Cricetulus griseus: one gene and its partners. The protein of the gene in region 1 interacts with the protein of each later gene in a biochemical or structural test. Links are inferred from orthologs where the notes say so. Each region holds a gene or a part of one and is shown in the gene's direction. Other genes may lie near its edges.

Region 1 (4,114 bases):
GACAGGGTTTCTCTGTGTAACTCTGGCTGTCCTGGAATTTACCCCAAAGACCAGGCTGACCTGGAACTCACAGAAATCCACCTACCTCTGCCTCCCGAGTGCTGGGATTAAAGGTGTGTGCCACCTCCACCCAGCCAGTCTAGAGGGGTTTAAAGCTGTTAACTCTGAAGTATAGTTACCAGAGACCACTGCCTGCCCTCAAGGCTTCCGGGAAAGGTAGTGTAAGAAAGCAATCTCTCTCTATTCCAGGACCTACCCAGGGAAATGTGGAGTCAGGAGACAATAAAAGGTTCTAGGAGAACAAGGAGAAAGAAATCTTGCTTTTGTCACTGTTATAAAATGACTTACTGGGAATAAAGCTTGGGTGGCTAAAATTCTTGTTCAGTATAAATACAAAGTGTCTTATTATAAGGTAACAAACCATATGACAGACTAATACACTCTATGGTGGCTCATTGTTGCCTGGAGATGGTGGCAAAGGTTCGATGGGATGGACAGAGCTATGAAAGAGAGCAGAGTCTGGAGGGCCAGATGAGGTCCAGGAACTGGGGGAGGATGAGAAGGACATACTAGAAGTGTGATGGTGGGAGCAAATCATAGTGTGTGACATCTGTAACCTTGCAAAATTTGCCAAATCTAGAACCTCTGAGTTCTTCATGGCAAGAGAGGATCGGGGGATGGGGTGCAGAGAACCGGGAAGCTGAGGCAAAGCCAGCTGGAATGAGATCGCAGTTAGCCAGGAACGTGCCCCCTCGCTGTGGTTAAGCCGCCGGATAGGAGAGAGCTCACAACTCCAGTCTCCAGTCCACTTGGGTCCCCCTGTGCTTGTCCTAACCGGTGAAGTCCGGCTTTGCGCCCAGCATCAGAAACTGGCCGGCGATTTCCCAACGGCGAACGGAGAAAGGCTCCTCGCAGCGCGCCGCGGGCGTCGGGGTCCCGGGTCAGCTCAGGTGCGAGTGACGCACCTGGCAAAGGCGTCTGCAGCAGACTGGGTAGAACCACGGCAGCGGGGCGGGGGTGAGGTGGCGAATACATCACGGATCACCGCAAGCAGAAACATGGATCTGCACGAACGGAATCATGAAAGACCGCCCCAAGTAGGGCAGAAGCCTGCGCCTCGCTGTGACCGGAGGTCGTGGATCCTTTCACAAAGCAGGGTCTCCTAGGCGACAGTGCAGTGGTTGACTCCAAGTCAAGAAGGTTTCAGGGCAGGAGAGGACTGGACCTGGTGGGCGTGGCTAAGGGAACAGGGCGGTCCGGGGGCGGGGCCTTGCGGGGCGGGGCCAGGTGCTGAGCCGTCTCTGCTTGTCAAAAGGCAGCTGCCGAGCCAGCCCTAAACGCCGGGAGCGCCAAGCAGCGTGTCCACCCGCCGGACCAGGTGAGGATCAGGGAGCAGCGGGAACCGGGTTCAGGGTGAGAGATTAGATTCAGGGGCGGGCGTCCGGGGTCGAGAGGTCTTAGTGCCCAGGGGCAAGAACTAGAGACCAAGTTTCGGTAGCAAAGTTGGCGATTGAGATCCGGACTGTGGTGCCATGAGGTTGGAACTCTGAGAGGGCACCCAGGTCTGAGAAAGTTGAAGTTCGTGAGATGTTGAAGAGGGGGCAGCCACCTTCCGGGATGCTTGGGGGGCTCAGCGCAGGAGTCCTTCGCTAGGACAGTTCTCACCGGACAACAAGCGTTTGTTTCCTTCCTCGGACCTGCGCTCTAGCGTGGAATGGAGGAGTAAGAAAGCAAGTGATTGGCTGTGGATGTAGCTAAGGTCTCTGGGGGTGGAGTGTGAGTAGCCTGTTTATTACCCAGTTGGGCCCATGTGTGATCACCTGTGATGGTGGAGTAGAATCCTTTAAATGGAGTTTTCTTTTGTTAACTTTCGAAAACCGCCGGTGCTTTGAGACCTAGTGTACTGGATTTCTTTATCAGAAAAGCCTGTCCACAGACGTCCAGAGGGACTCAGGGGCCAGTGTGGAAACTGAGGAAGGGATTTAAGAAATAGTTTCTGTTTGGTGAGTGAGGTTCGGAGGGAGTATTTGGAAGGGAACTGCATGATCCACTGTCGTCACGACCACTATCACCCACCTGAGGCTGCCTGCCTGTTCTGGGGGAGCCTTGCTTCTATGAGCCTAGGCCACACTCCTCTTCCTCCTCCTGCTCCTCCTCCTCTCCCTCCTCCTCCTGCTCCTCCTTGTGGTGAGTGAGTCAGCCTCCTGTCTGGGCTCAGAGCAGCAGAGGGGCCAGAGCCCAGGCAAGCAGTTGGGCAGGCATTTTCTGAGCATTGCAGAAGTTCCCTTGGACAGAGTTCAGCTCTTCCCCAGTGTCCTGGGGAAGGCCATCTTCTTCATGGACATCAGGGGTGGGGGAGTGTCATCAATGGTTATTTGATGGCCATGGGCTGATTCCAGGTGACCAAGAAGAGACTTTGACTGTTCTCTGGGATTGGAGGTACATCCCAATATTATAGGCTTACCAGCTACTGGATCCACTTCTACTGTGTTAGTGAGCCATCTTGCCTAGTAAGGCAGGCATAGAGGAGAAATCGGAAGAGAGTTTGGGGAGCAGAAAAGGCAAGCAAGGTTTTTTCCCAGGCTAGGGAGTAAGAGTGGATTCTCAGAGGCAGAGGGGGTTGTCTGGACCTAGGTCCTCAACTCTGTGAGCTAAGGGTATTTTACATTTGGGAACCATCGCTATTTCTTTCCCAGATTAACACTGGAGAGAACTGTGTGGATCTCTGTGGAACACTTTTCAGTACTGGCATGCAGCCAGAACAGGAGGTAGTAAGAGTGAAATCCTCTGCTGGTTTTGTTTTAGATACTAGAGACCCTTGAGCAGAAATGGGTAACCTGGGCCCCCACTCAGTAGCCTTTTCTAGCTTGTTTGAGAGGAACCCAGGGAGCCTGACACAGTTACATTGCCTCAAACTGTAAAGAGGTAGGAAATCACATTCTGTGCTCCGGCTTTAGGTTTGGCTATTCCTGAGCAGCCGTGACTTGGTTCCTGACCAAGACGGAGAAGGGACTGGGAAAGGAGAGAAAGGAAGAGAATCAGGCAGCCCAGCTGACCCCTCACACTTCCCCAGATACAATCCTATGCCTGTGCTTCAGGATGTTGTGCTTATTTGTAATGACGTTTCTCAGCTCCATCCCCTGTCTACCTATGAACTGATCTCTTTGAGGGACAGAGCCCTCTGGAAGCCCTCAAAAACCCCCTGGACCTCTGCCTTCAGCACAGATTGCAGGTATCCAAAGCTTAGGCCTTCAATAGAGGAAGGCCTAGGATAGTGGTTCCCAACCTTCCTAATGCTGCGACCTTTTAATACAGTTTCTCGTATTACGATGACCCCAACCATAAAATCATTTCGTTGCTACTTCATAACTGTAATTGTGATACTGTTATGAATTGTAGTTTAAATATCTGATGTCAGAATATCCGATATGTGACCGACCTCTTGTGGAGGTCATGACCCACAGGTTGAGAACCACTGGCCTAGGGTCTGGTGGGCTAGACCAAGAAGTTACCCAATACAGGAGAATTCTGTTGTACAGTTTTTCACCCTACATCCTAGGGATTGGCTACAATCAGCGTCTGGGCTGCTGCTGTCTATGCAGAATGGCAAGGCCAGGGTACCTGGGTCACATTCTGATGTGTAGCTGGATGGTGGGTTAGAGGGCTCCAGCTTCTGCTTGTCACTGCTGTGATGTTTGGGATGCAGGTAGAGGGAATAAGGACACAACCAGATTTGATTAAGAGCCTCCTGTGTGTCCCAGCATAGTGCCAGGCTGCCAAGGGATGTCAGCAGGCAGATCTCAGCAGGCCAGGCTTCTGCCTCCAAAGAGAGCTCCATGAGGAGCAGCAGCCCTGGCACCATCTCCACTGCTGTCCAGTCGAAGGCTCTGATGGGCTGAAGCCAGCTGGGCAGCTGCTCTAGACCAGCAGGACCTCACTTGTAGCTGCTGCTCTCTGATTTGTCCTTAACATTCCTTAGTGACTGTGTGATTTACTGTCCAAACTGGGATGCTCATGAGTTAAAGGGGGTTTTGTGTGTGGCCATGCAGAGACATAAACCCAAACCCAGGAGAGCTGCAAATCTACTCATCCAAACCCAGGAGAGGTCACACAG
Region 2 (4,043 bases), on another chromosome or scaffold:
CCTGAGGCCACACAGGAAGAATTGAGTAGAAGTCCGAGTTGTAGGCTTTCTGGGCAAGCATAAATGTAAGCCTGAGACTTGGGACACTGGGTATCACCTGGACATCTCTCAGAGCAGCTCCGCCTCTCTGAGAACCACCCAGGCACACCCCTCCCAGCACTATCCATCCACCTCTGGAGAGGGTCACTGACCCACCTCTGATCCTCTGGCCTGGCCTCTTAGGTGGGGTGGGGGTTAAGCCATGTTCTTGCCTTCCAAAGGCCACCAACCCTCTACTTGATACCAGGGTGCCTTGTCTTCTTGGGTGGGCTCAAAATTGGAAAGGACCTGACCCCATGAAGGCCAGTCCCTAGAACAACCTTTCTGTGGGCCCTGGTCCTGTTCCTTCTCCTCAGCCTTTCCCACCCTTCCTGGCCTGTTACCTGCTTCCTTCTCAACTTCCTTTCTCCCTCTGCCTCAACTCCTGCCATCCTTTCAGCCCTCAGCCTCTTGCCCCATCACCGTCCCTCTGGCCTGTGGCTCTTCATTGTCCTAGTCACTTTCCCCTTCTCTGGCTTCTACGTCACAACACACAGGAACCCATGGCTGTATTTTTAGCTGCCACTCTCAGCAGCATACTAAGCCACTAGATCCCGCATGACCCTGGCCCAGGCTGAGTTGGGGGTCCTGGCAGGCACTGCCCTCCACTGGAGGGGATTGGGGGTAACTGCACAGCTTCTTGTCCCCATTTCTCTCCAGCACCTGGGATTGGGGCACATTAACAGGTGATCTCTACCGCAGAAGGCTGGTGCCTAGGGCTGGGGGATCTTGAAGACAGAGCTGACATTGCTGGGCACACAAGTCCCAAGCTCAGCCTGGAACACAATGGAATCTAGATGGCAGTGGGGGAGGGCTAGAAAGAAGGAGGGCTCCAGAAGAGGAATTAGGTCAACCATGTGGGTGGGTGGGCCAGAGGAGAGGATAATATCTACCACCAAGCTTCCTCCTGGCTCTGGCAGCAGTATCTCCACACTTCCCTTCCCTGTCCCCTCCCCCTGGTCCTAGGAGATTTGTCCTGGGAGATTTCTCCCGGTATCATCCCCCCCCTCCGTGTCCCCCACCTCAGGCATGGCCACAGGGGTGGGGGTGGGGTGGGGGGAGGCCAGCCTCAGCTGTCTGAAGGATGGAGGGGCTGGGGAAGCAGGGCTAGGTGCCCAGACGGCCGCGTGTGTGGGAGGGGATGTCCTCAGATGCCCTCCACCCGGCAGTCCCCGCTCTGACGTGTGTGCCCCCCCTCTCCCAGCCCGGATTAGTGGCAGCTTGGCCTGACTCTCCGGGGCTCCTTCCCCCGCCCTGCCTGCTGCCCACCCCTGGGCAGGGGGCACTGTGCTTGCCCAGGTAAGGGGCTCTGGGGTGGAGAAAGGGCAGCCGGTTGTGAGTGAGGCTGTGCCTGTCAGCAGGAATGTGTGTGTCAGCATGTGTGTCAGTGCGTGAGGGGTCGGTGTGGGCTATGACTGGACCCATGTGAGTCTGGGGGTGATAGCCAGCTTACCAGGTCCATGGTCTGGTCTTGTGACCACACAGTGGGTGGCTCCCCCCCCCCCGTGTTTGTGTCTTTTGTATGTGTCCTCAGCTATGCTCCATCCTCAGGCACAGCAGTCAGCTACAAGGACTCTGGCCTGTGGCACAGGCTGTAATGCAAGGATGAGGAATGTGGTTGGATGCGGGTGGTACTTCTCCCACCTTAATCTCCACTAACCCCTGAACATTCCAGAAGACTGCCCTGAGAGCTCTGGTCTAGTCCAGGCACTATAATCTGACAGGCAGATACGGCAGCTGGAGGTGTGGGGGTGGGTATCTGTCCGGCTCCCCTGAGACAGTCCCTATTACCTTAGGGGCAGACAGCCACAGGCCCCTGGGACTCTGGACAGCACAAGCTTCTACTCTGGCCTCTTCCAGACCTCAAGCCACAGGACCTTCCCCCAAACAACGATTCTCCCACAGGCCTCCTCAGCTAAGGTAGGCCAAGGGACTTAGATTGGGACCACAGGCAAATCCCAGCCCACCACCTAGCCCAGGAGCCAGGCTGGGAGCTAGAGGCCAGGCTGGAGCCTTGGGGCTCCAGTTCCTGTTAGACCCTCCTCATTCATCTCCATGGCACACTAGAGTCAGGTCACCCCCAAGGGAATGGATAAGAAAAGGAGTAGGAAAAACTCAATCAAGTGAACAATTCCTGCCAGCCTGCCCCCTTCCAACTTGGCCTCTGTGAAGGTGAGGGGCTAGGAAGATCTGTGTCAACAAGGCCCACATCTGAACAGTTTCAGCTGTATGGCCCTCCTCTCCCAAGTACCCATTCTGTCCTCAACAGTTGGTGAAAGGCTTCTTGTCTTCATTCTTGTCCCTTTTGAGAGAAAGACCTTAGGCTCTTCATGGACACCCTCTTGAGAGATGGTGGTGTAACTTGGGATCAGGTTGTGGCCTCCAGAATTCATCCCATCTACGGGGATGGGGAAGTAGGTGGTATTGCTTCTGTTTCGGACTGGGCACAGAGAGGCAGGGGAGTAGAGGGGCAGGAGGTGGGTGCCTTCAGGGAAGGGAAGCACTGGTTGGGCGTGTGGGTTTCTGTGTGTGTCTGTCTGAATCTGTCTGTTTGTGTGTGCGCTCTGGAACCACCCCCGCAGAAGAGCAGGGATGCTTCCTCGGGTGGAGGGTGCCCTGTTTGCCCATTTCCTCTCCTACTTGCTGTTCCCTCCCAGGAGCCACTCCCATGGGCTACTCTCCAGGCTGGGCCTGGGAGCACCAGGAACAGTAGGATGGGGCAGCCCAGCAGACAACCCCAACGGGAGCTTGGGATAGTTGTATGCGTCTGGTCCCATCACCTCTGGACACTTGGTAGAAATCAAGTCCCTTAGACCAGGGAACAGACCAGACGGCAGGCCCTCCCAGATTCCAAAGCATAACACTTCGAGTAACCTTGTGCTCTGAGAGGGATGCTGGGAAGAGGGGCTTGGGCAGGTGAAGATTAAGAATGTGGTAGGGAAGACACCAGCCATTGGGGTGTGCCCAAAGCTGGAAAGGACAGGGAGAGAGTGGTCCAGCAGGCACGGGCCTGCTGGCGTGGGTCGTAGCACCCATCACTGACCCGTGAGAACCCGACTGCCCCTGCCAGCTCTGGCACTGACCCCTCCCTGCCGCCCCGCCCTGGCACCCCGGGGGGCACCCCGCCTCACCGTGGCCTGGTCCGGCCCCTCCCGCCCTTTGCTCCAGTTCCCGGGCTTGGCACCTATAGTGGGGGTGCTGCCCGCCTGCCAGGCTCCGGGCCGGGCCCACGGGAGGGTGGGGCGGCTGGGAAGCTGGCACACTGCCCCAGGGGAGCCTCTCTCGGCAGGCGCCCGGGTGCCGCGGGGGGAGGGGGGAACAAAGGGCTCATTCTCCCCGTGCGCAGCCGGTGGCATCGCCGGGGCGTTGGCGGAAGCCCCCGGGGCTCAGAAGGGGGCAGGCCCAGGCGGGGCCGCCGAATCACGGGCTCCTGTTTCCCGCAGGGTGCTGGAGGAGGAAACCGGCGGAGCAGCTTCCCCACTCTCAGTTGCGCGTCTGGCGATGGCGATCAGAGGTCCTGCTGCGCTCTCCGCTGCGCTCTCCCTCCATTAGCCGCGCTGCGCGGTGCTGCGCCCTCATTGGTGCCTCTCTCCTGGCTCTCGGCATCGGCCCCCCACTTCCAGGCACGACCCCCTTCCCCGGCCTCTCGGCCTTTCCCCCCACTCAGCCATCTCCGACCGGGGCGCGCGTTCCCCCCGGCCCGGTTTCTTCTCTCCCTCCAGGGACACCGCTCCCTAGCCCCGGCCCGACCCTCCTCAAAGCGCAGCACGGAGTCTCGGCGTCCCATGGCGCAACCTACAGCCTTGGCCCAGAAGCTGGTGCGGCCCATCCGCGCCGTGTGCCGCATCCTGCAAATCCCGGAGTCCGACCCCTCCAACCTGCGGCCCTAGAGCGCCCCCGACGCCCGGGGGGAAAGAGAGCGCGAGCGCGCTGAGTAGAAAGAGGGAGAACGCCCCGAAGCCGGC
Region 3 (3,517 bases), on another chromosome or scaffold:
TAGAACAAGAAGAAGAAGAGAGGAAAAAAGAAGAGAGTACTGCAGCTAGTGAAACCCCTGAGGTACTGCCCCCACTAGAGCTGTGCCACCAGAATGGCAGGCTGGAAACTACATTTCTGTTGGGTTCTTTCTGTGGATGTTCTCATATGCATGTAGGGCATCACCATCAACAGCAGTAAGTGGGTATGGGGTCTCTATACAAGAGATACTCCTATGGGGTACCATGGTTAGACATAGAGAGTGGAGGGAAGGTGGTGCTCTGTTGGAGCCAGGACACTACATGGAGATGGATGAAAGTTACTTCCCAGATAAACTGAAGTTCCAAGCCTTGGACTGCATATTGTGGCAACTACTCATTTTGCGGTTTGTTTTTTTGTTTGTTTTTTGTTATTGTTGTTTTGGTTTGGTTTGGTTTGGTTTTTTGTTTTTTGGGGGGTTTTTTTTTGGCTCTCAACCTGTTCACTGTTTATTACCCCTGTGTACCAGGAGTGCAGAGTAAACTAAACAAGACCATGTCCCTTCCCTAAGAGGTATTTTATACTAGGAGAAACAGGAAGTGCCTGGAGAGCTGCATCGTGTGTTTTCAGGTGATGGGGCAACTCTGAGAAGAAAGGATTTTAAGGTATAGAAGACAGCAGGAGGACTGAGGGTAGCTTTGGAAACTGACATAGGAGCTGGAATCCCACTTGAGTTACAGGGGATGGAGTCTTCCACGACGAGGAAGAAATATTTTATATTGAAGGTCACAAGGCATTGTGTTATTGCCAGGTAGAGCTGACAGTGGCTTATATTGGTTATAGTTATAGGTTCTCTAGATGTGTGCAGTGACTTCTGTGGAGAGTGTTTGTGGCATGTGTATAGCTGGAACTCACTTTGATGAGAGAGAAGCAAAGAGTGGCTTGTGTTGCTCCAAAGGAAGTGGCCGAGATTGGGCCCCATTGGGTTTGGAGGTGCTGGCAGCATGTAGCAACACCTGAAGCCTCGCATCAGCATGCATGCTCAGGGCACATATGATTCGTTGAATGGTTACAATGTGCCAAGCACTGTGCATGTTGAGCTATGTCTTCAAAAGGACAGCTTTAACAGAGAAAGCACATACCAGGGTCAAACAAGAGTTTGTGTCCTGGCGGTTCCCAAAAACTCCCAAATTGTCCCTATTGTCTGACTTTCTCTCACTGGAGCCTCTACAAATTGGTCTGTCCTTTGACCCTCTCAGTAACCTGGCTAGTTTTTACTATGGTTTGATTTCTTACCCTACTGCAAAACAGTTCCCAAGGAAACTGGAGAAGAGAGGCCATATTCAAAATGGCTGACTCAGAGTACATTGCAGTGGAGACCAAGTGACCAGGAGGCCACTGGCCATGCCAGGCCCCAGAGTAAAGGTAGCCTGACTCAGAACCATTTGTCTGAGCTTGTAAAGGACAGCAGTGATGGCATCATTTGAGGAAGTGGATTGTGGGTCCATCTGTGGGAGTCACTGGTGCACAGCACAGCAGTACTACAGGATAAAGAAGTTCTCTTGGTCAGATCAAATGAGTGGGTTTTTTTTGTTTGTTTCTTTTGTATTTTTGTTTTTGTTTGTTTGTTTGTTTGTTTGTTTGTTTGTTTGTTTTTTTTGTTTGTTTGTTTGTTTTTTTTGGTCTTTGGAGATAGGGTTTCTCTGTGGCTTTGGAGCCCGTCCTGGAACTAGCTCTTGTAGACCAGACTGGTCTCAAACTCACAGAGATCCACCTGCTTCCCGAGTGCTGAGATTAAAGGCATGCGCCACCAACACCCGGCTCTAATTACCTTTTTTTATGTTGTTTTCTAAGTGGTTAATACTCTAAGTTATTTTCATATATTAGGCTCATTGGAGCACTTGAATTGGGGAGTGTATCCCTGTTAGACCTCAGCAAAGTAGTAACAACGGGTTGCAAGGAAAGCTTAGATATGTTCTACCTAGTGCAAGTGTTGAGTGGGACCTGAAAAGTCAGCTGAGTGTGCATGCTTCTCTTGGTGCTGCCCACCATTTGAAACTTCCCCCAGTCTTTTGAAAATTCATACAGATGAGCAGGCCTACCCAAGACAAAGAAGCAGGTGCTGAGCATACAGGATGGAACAACATGGCACTCCTGTCTAGGGAATTATGAGGAGTGGTAAGAAAACTTCCTCTTAGAATCTAAGCTTAGATTCTGAATAACAGGACATACAAGGTGCCAGTCTAGTGGCAGCATGCAGCCCAGGTACATATGGGGTCTCTACAGCCAGGAAATGGATGTTGTTGTGACAGTTTTGCATGTCATTACAGGGCAGTCAAGGTGACAGCAAGAATGCCAAGAAAAAGAACAATAAAAAAACCAACAAAAACAAAAGCAGCATTAGCCGAGCCAACAAGAAGAAGCCCAGCATGCCCAATGTGTCCAACGACCTGTCCCAGAAGCTGTATGCCACCATGGAGAAACATAAGGAGGTAGTGGCATAGTCTTATGGGAGGTTCTGGGAATACTCAGAACCGAGAGGAACAGCAGGCACCAGGCCTCCTGTGCAAATCTTTGGTAGAAGCAAATCTTTGGTAGAAATCTTTTATAGAAGGTGGAACAGTAGTTTGTTAATATATTGTGTGGCTTGTCATCAGTTATGTTCCATCCCAGGAAACCGGGGCCTCAAGCAGGCCCTGCGTGTGGTTAGCCTCCTATTACATAGGAATATGTGGCCCAGCCCTTGGCACAGTCTGCCTCTCTGTGGGGTTAATGCGGCTCCTCCTTTCAGGTCTTCTTTGTGATTCATCTGCATGCTGGGCCTGTTATCAGCACTCAGCCCCCCATCGTGGACCCTGACCCCCTGCTCAGCTGTGACCTCATGGATGGGCGTGATGCCTTCCTCACCCTGGCTAGAGACAAGCACTGGGAGTTCTCTTCCTTACGCCGCTCCAAATGGTCCACTCTGTGCATGCTGGTGGAACTGCACACACAGGGCCAGGACCGCTTTGTCTATACCTGCAATGAGTGCAAACACCATGTAGAGACACGCTGGCACTGCACTGTGTGTGAGGTAAGTCCCATCACCTCCCTCCTGGCCTTCCCCCATAGGTAGTATTCTAGCATTGTCCTCTGCAGCATTGGGTGCAGGTGTTAACATCTGTGCACAACATTGTACTGTGTCTCTCACCATGGGGAACCAGGCATGAGTGACACCCTTGTTGTCCTCTTACCTGTGCTCTTGTCTGCTACAGCTACAGTCCATGTACTGAGGCATCCTGACTGTAGAAAGACACTCCGAGACACTTTGGTTCTACAGGGATCCTGGTGTATTTATCTCTTCCTAGCCTTGCTAAGGGATTAGGGACACATTTTGCCCTGTTTGCAGGTTGGCACCTTTGATGAGGTCCAGTGGCATGATCAGCATGTGATCAGAAGACTTGATGGTCGAGTATGCCACTGGCAGGCTCACTGTCTCCTGCCCCATGGGTAGCTTGTCTTCAGCCATGCAGAGCTTGTCCTGGGCAAAACAAAGGCTGCCTAGCCCTTCCTTCTTTCTT
Region 4 (2,427 bases), on another chromosome or scaffold:
CAGACTGGAGGGAAGCCAGGCTCCTCTCCCATTACCAAACATGGACTGAGCAGTGGATCTAGCAGTACCAAGATGAAACCTCAAGGCAAGCCATCATCACTTATGAATCCTTCTATAAGTAAACCAAACATATCCCCTTCTCATTCAAGGCCTCCTGGAGGCTCAGATAAGCTTGCCTCTCCAATGAAACCTGTTCCTGGGACCCCCCCATCCTCTAAAGCCAAGTCCCCTATCAGTTCAGGTTCTAGTGGTTCCCACATGTCAGGAACTAGTTCAAGCTCTGGCATGAAGTCATCTTCAGGGTCAGGATCCTCAGGCTCATTGTCTCAGAAAACTCCCCCAGCATCTAATTCTTGTACACCATCTTCCTCCTCATTTTCCTCAAGTGGTTCTTCCATGTCCTCCTCTCAGAATCAGCATGGGAGTTCCAAAGGGAAGTCTCCCAGTAGGAATAAGAAGCCTTCCTTGACAGCTGTCATAGATAAACTGAAGCATGGGGTTGTTACCAGTGGGCCTGGGGGTGAGGATCCAATGGACAGTCAGATGGGAGTAAGCACAAACTCTTCTAACCATCCCATGTCCTCCAAACATAACATGTCAGGAGGGGAATTCCAGAGCAAGCGTGAGAAAAGCGATAAAGACAAATCAAAGGTTTCTACTTCAGGAGGCTCAGTGGATTCTTCTAAGAAGACCTCAGAGTCAAAAAATGTGGGGAGCACGGGTGTGGCAAAAATTATTATCAGCAAACATGATGGAGGCTCCCCTAGCATTAAAGCCAAAGTGACTCTACAGAAACCTGGAGAAAGTAGTGGAGAAGGGCTCAGGCCACAGATAGCCTCCTCAAAAAACTATGGTTCTCCATTGATCAGTGGTTCCACTCCAAAGCATGAACGTGGTTCTCCCAGCCACAGTAAGTCTCCAGCATACACGCCCCAGAATGTGGACAGTGAAAGTGAGTCAGGTTCCTCCATAGCAGAAAAATCTTACCAGAACAGTCCCAGCTCAGATGACGGTATCCGACCTCTTCCAGAATACAGCACAGAGAAGCATAAGAAGCACAAAAAGGAAAAGAAGAAAGTCAAAGACAGAGACCGGGACAGAGACAAAGACAGAGACAAGAAAAAATCTCACAGCATCAAGCCAGAGAATTGGTCTAAATCGCCCATTTCCTCAGATCAGACACTGTCTATGACAAATAACCCAATCTTATCTGCAGACAGGCCTTCAAGGCTCAGCCCTGACTTTATGATGGGGGAGGAAGACGATGATCTTATGGATGTGGCCCTGATTGGCAACTAAGAACGTTATTTTCTAAACAGATATGTCCAGAGAAGAAATTAGATATATTTACATGTAAACCAACACAAGGGGTGAGTCAGATAGGCTTAAGAGTCCTGTTGGGCATGGCCTCTACACCAAGCTGGGTACATTTTAAAAGTATATCTAAACCCTACTAAAGGGACCATAGGGTTGGTCGTTCACCAACAAGTCATATTTCTTTGCCAGAAAGAAATGTTAAAAAATACTTGCTTAAGAAAGGGAGGGGGTGGGAAAGGGTATAGAGAGGGAAGGGTGGGAAAAATGTTGTGGGAAATATTCATATATATTTTTTTCTCCCTTTTTCCATTTTCAGGACATGCTTTAAACTCATTTTAGTGCATGTATTTGAAGGGCTGGGCAGAAAATGAAAAAAAGCAATACATTCCTTGATGCATTTGCATGAAGGTTGTTCACCTTTGGTGGTTGTCCATTTGAAGCATGGGCAAGGGAAGGACTTTGACAGTTTTGGACACTTAAAGTTTTGGTGTCTGTTTCTTAGGAGTGATTGGGGAGGGAAAATTATTTTAGCTATTTATTTGTAATATTTTAATCCTTAATGTTTGTTTTTATGCAATGTTTGTTCTTAAATCTATGAAGGTTATGGTTCAGAATGATAGGCAGGAAGGGCAAGGTTTGTTTCATGGTGGGGAGCTTGCAGTTTTTGCTGATGTTGCTGCATCAAGCCCACACAGGCTAATCAGAGCCAGTCTTTGGAGTTAAATAGAAAAACCAAAACTATTATCTTCAGAGGTTTTTCACAGGGTTCAGACATCATAGGAATAATAGGAATTACCTCCCTATGCAGTTAAAAGATTTATCTTTTTTCGTTAAAAAGGAAGGGTGGCTTTTGGGAGTATAAATATGTTTTCAGATTCAATACCCTATGGTATGAAAACCATTACAGAATTAATAGTTCTCCTAGTTCCACATGTGCCAAATCTACATCCCAGCATCATGTTTGCGGGAGAGCTGATGCAATTCCTATGAGCTGGACTCTTTCTCTTCATCACAAGAAAGAGGAGTTCAGACTTCAGTCACTCTACTGTATGCCCCCCGAGAGAAACAGTTTTAAAAAATGCAGCCATAGTTCACTTAAAACAATTTCAA
Region 5 (3,517 bases), on another chromosome or scaffold:
ATAGAATAAAAATAAAAAATAATAGAAGAAAGTGTTAGATCCCCTGGAACCAAAGTTACAGACTGTCGAGCCACCTCGTGGGTTCTGGGAACTGAACCATGGTCCTTTGTAAGAACAGAAAATGTTTTTAACTGCTGAGCCATCTCTCCTGCCCCATAAGTTGTTCTTGGTATGTATGTGTGCCAAAGAATTTCTAATAAAAGTATTAAAATCTAAACTATTGGTTAAAATTTCTAGTATCGTTTTTTTTTTTTTTTCTTTAAAGTCTGCCATGTACATTTTAATGGAGGTACTTGGGAAGTATAGATAGCAGGCAAGTAAATGATCTGTTTCAAAAGCGCATTACACCAGCATCAGCCTAAAAGGTAAAAGGAAGGTGTTGGTCCTGATGCAATTTACGTATTGGGGTGATTAATTTTGATTGTCAATTTGCTACAACCTGAATCACTGGGAAGGGAGCTTCAGTTGAGTACTTGTCTAAATTAGGTTGGCCTGTGGGCATGTCTGTAAGGGATTGTCTTGATGACTGATAAAAGAAGACAGCCCATTGTCGGCACCACTATCCCTTAGGCAGATGGGTTCCCCACTATGTGAGTCAGGCGAAAACTAAATGAGAGCAAGCGGCAGAGTCATTGATTTCTCCCTGCACTTGACTGGATATAATGTGACTAGACGCTTGAGTTCCTGCCTTGACGTCTCTCAATAATAGACTCTAACTTGGAATTATAAGCCAAATAAACCCTTTCCTCCCTGATTTTCTTTTGGTTAGGCTATAACAGACAGAAATGAAACTAGAACACATATATAAATATATTTTTGTTTTTTCTGACTCTTGTAGAAGAAAATATTCTGGGTTTTTTCTTTTTGTTCATTTTCACTTTCCTAATTTGTGAATAGAATTGATTCCAGAAAACAGAAACATTATAAATAGGATGAGGGCAATGGAATTTTCTAGGCCCAGTGAATTTGGAAATTATTTAGTAACCGGACTTAAATTTCTGATGAGTTTTTAATCCAGGATAATGGTGCTATAGGCAATTTATATCATCATTAATTTCAAGTCCTAGTGAGCCTCAAAAATAGAGATCACTGATGCATAAGATTTTGTTGGCAGAATGTATTTGGATACTGACTTGATTAGAAGATTTCAAATAATTTAAATGCATGGGGTCAAGGGAAAGTGATCATCTTGGAGCCAGGGCAGCAATTTGTGTACATATTTTAAGCTCCTTTAGTTTTAAAATCTGAACGACAAAACTGAGTATCCTAAATGCGTAAATATGCTGAAAGGACATGTTGACATGTACAGCGACTTAATGAGGCTGCTTCCCTCCACCCTGTGTGTTCCTAAGCTGCTTGTGTTTGAACACTTTTAGGTCATTTACAGCAAGTACACTGACCTGGTTCCAAAGGAGGTTATGAATGCAGATGATCCAGACCTGCAAAGGCCTGATGAAGAGGCTATTAAAGAGGTAACTAGGGGTTGGTGTATGTGATTATTTTAGATGACTTTGTGTCCTTATTAATTTCCAACTGCTCACCGTGCTGCTTCTCATCTCAGATAACAGAGAAGACAAGAGTAGCCTTGGAGAAGTCTGTGTCGCAGAAGGTTGCTGCAGCCATGCCTGTTCGTGCAGCTGACAAGCTGGCTCCTGCTCAGTATATCCGGTATGCACCCTGCTGGAAGTGTTAGTTGCATGTCAGACTCCCTAGGTGGGATTTTGAAGACTCACCAGCTTACAAAGCCAGTTCAAATGCATTGTCTTAATGACCTTTGAAGCCTATCAACTCTAGTTTGCAAAAGGCTTTTTTTGTGTGTTTGTTTTTAATTTTCAGGTTTATTTATTTAGTGTAGAGTGCTCTGTTTGCATGTATGCCTACAGGACAGGAAAGGGAATCAGACACAAGGTGACATTGAATTCCATAAAAATGGTCCTGAGCCACCATGTGGGTGCTGGGAACTCAGGACCTCCCAAACCACTGAGCCATCTCTCAGTCCCCAGAAGTTTTTTTTTTAATCCCTACATTAAGATGTTAACGGTCCCAGCACTCGGGAGGCAGGCCTCGAACTCACAGAGATCAACCTGCCTCTGCCTTCTGAGTGCTGGGACTAAAGGCCTGCTCTACCACCGCCTTGATTTTCAGTTTTTTAGAAAATAATTGTTACCTATGGTATATGACCCAAACGACAATTGTTTATAGTTTTTGATTATATTTAATAAACTTTTATAATGCTGCTAAATGTTGAGGGCCTTTACTGGACTGTCTTTGTGAAGAATGATTGGAACTAGATGTTAAGGGAAAATTTTGAGTTAGGGCTGCTGCTGCAGTTTTTACAGCATACATTGCATGTTGCCAGTGGGCATACTATTGTAACTATTTTCCTTTCTTTAAAAAACTTTTACTCATTTATTTATTGTTATTATATATGTATGTATGTTTTGCCTGCATGCCCAGTGCCCAACGAGGCCAGAGGAAGAGTTGCAGGAACTGAAGTTGCAGGCAGTGGTGAGCAGCCATGTGGGTTCTGGGAATTGAACTTTGGAAGAGCAGCCAGTGCTCTTAACTGCTGAGCCATCTCTCAGCCCTGGCAATTTTATTCTATAATGTAGACTTAAAAGCAGGTGTTAGTTTTAGACCTGGGGAAGCTGGACAGGTGTATTTCCCAGGTGGAATGTGGAAAGGATGAAGAGGGAAGTCAATAACCACTTAAGTGCATATTTTGTTTGATTTCACTTCTGTTTCTTTTCTGGTCTGCTTCTGACTGCCCTGCCTAAATGTATGGTGATTTTATGTCAGTACTTCCTGAAAAGAATTGAAAGTATAGTCATGTGGAACTATAATAGAAGATAAATGCCTACCAAAAGCTTGAACTAATTACACCTTTAATTTTCATCTATTTAGCTACACACCATCTCAGCAAGGAGTAGCATTCAACTCTGGAGCTAAACAGAGGGTTATTCGGATGGTAGAAATGCAGAAAGATCCAATGGAGCCGCCAAGATTCAAGTAAGTATGGCTTCATGAGTGTCTTAATTGAGGTTTTTTGTTTGTTTGTTTGTTTTTGTTTTTTGAGACAGGGTTTTTCTGTGTAGCTTTGTAGATGAGGCGGACCTCGAACTCTCAGGGGTCTGCCTGTCTCTGCCTCCCGATGCTGGGATTAAAGGCATGTGCCACCACCGCCCGGCTTAATTGAGGTTTCTATTGCTATGATGAAACATCATGACCAAAAAGCAAGTTGGATAGGAAAGGATTTATTCGACTTACACTTTAGCATTGCTGTTTATCACTGAAGGAAGTCAGGACAGGACAGGAACTCAAAACAGGCCAGGATCCCTGAAGCAGGAGCTGATGCAGAGGGCTATGGAGGGGCGATGTTTACTGGCTTGCTTCCCATGTCTTGCTAAGCCCGCCTATAGAACCCAGGGCCAACAGCCCAGGGATAACATCATGGGCTGAGCCCTTCCCCATTGATCACTAAGTGAGAAAATGTCTTACACCTGGATCCCAAGGAGGC

Evidence for each region.
Region 2: the proteins of Vdr (region 1) and Hr form a complex in vitro, tested with the Homo sapiens proteins (2 studies listed by BioGRID and IntAct). The link is inferred for Cricetulus griseus from reciprocal best matches to the Homo sapiens genes VDR and HR.
Region 3: the proteins of Vdr (region 1) and histone lysine acetyltransferase CREBBP form a complex in vitro, tested with the Homo sapiens proteins (2 studies listed by BioGRID). The link is inferred for Cricetulus griseus from reciprocal best matches to the Homo sapiens genes VDR and CREBBP.
Region 4: the proteins of Vdr (region 1) and Med1 form a complex in vitro, tested with the Homo sapiens proteins (5 studies listed by BioGRID). The link is inferred for Cricetulus griseus from reciprocal best matches to the Homo sapiens genes VDR and MED1.
Region 5: the proteins of Vdr (region 1) and Snw1 form a complex in vitro, tested with the Homo sapiens proteins (2 studies listed by BioGRID, with this or other methods). The link is inferred for Cricetulus griseus from reciprocal best matches to the Homo sapiens genes VDR and SNW1.

The regions. Positions count from the first base shown.
Region 1 is NC_048595.1:394,401,406-394,405,519, reverse strand, and holds the start of Vdr (vitamin D3 receptor), read left to right. Parts: upstream 1-1,297; 5' UTR 1,298-1,378; intron 1,379-4,114.
Region 2 is NW_023276807.1:225,197,157-225,201,199, forward strand, and holds the start of Hr (lysine-specific demethylase hairless), read left to right. Parts: upstream 1-1,240; 5' UTR 1,241-1,377; intron 1,378-1,874; 5' UTR 1,875-1,998; intron 1,999-3,521; 5' UTR 3,522-4,043. UniProt on the Homo sapiens protein: Histone demethylase that specifically demethylates both mono- and dimethylated 'Lys-9' of histone H3. May act as a transcription regulator controlling hair biology (via targeting of collagens), neural activity, and cell cycle.
Region 3 is NC_048600.1:42,570,957-42,574,473, forward strand, and holds part of histone lysine acetyltransferase CREBBP, read left to right. Parts: coding exon 1-62; intron 63-2,287; coding exon 2,288-2,449; intron 2,450-2,748; coding exon 2,749-3,030; intron 3,031-3,517. UniProt on the Homo sapiens protein: Acetylates histones, giving a specific tag for transcriptional activation. Mediates acetylation of histone H3 at 'Lys-18' and 'Lys-27' (H3K18ac and H3K27ac, respectively).
Region 4 is NC_048600.1:111,279,697-111,282,123, reverse strand, and holds part of Med1 (mediator of RNA polymerase II transcription subunit 1), read left to right. Parts: coding exon 1-1,299; 3' UTR 1,300-2,427. UniProt on the Homo sapiens protein: Component of the Mediator complex, a coactivator involved in the regulated transcription of nearly all RNA polymerase II-dependent genes.
Region 5 is NC_048598.1:116,339,234-116,342,750, forward strand, and holds part of Snw1 (SNW domain-containing protein 1), read left to right. Parts: intron 1-1,376; coding exon 1,377-1,472; intron 1,473-1,561; coding exon 1,562-1,668; intron 1,669-2,904; coding exon 2,905-3,009; intron 3,010-3,517. UniProt on the Homo sapiens protein: Involved in pre-mRNA splicing as component of the spliceosome. As a component of the minor spliceosome, involved in the splicing of U12-type introns in pre-mRNAs.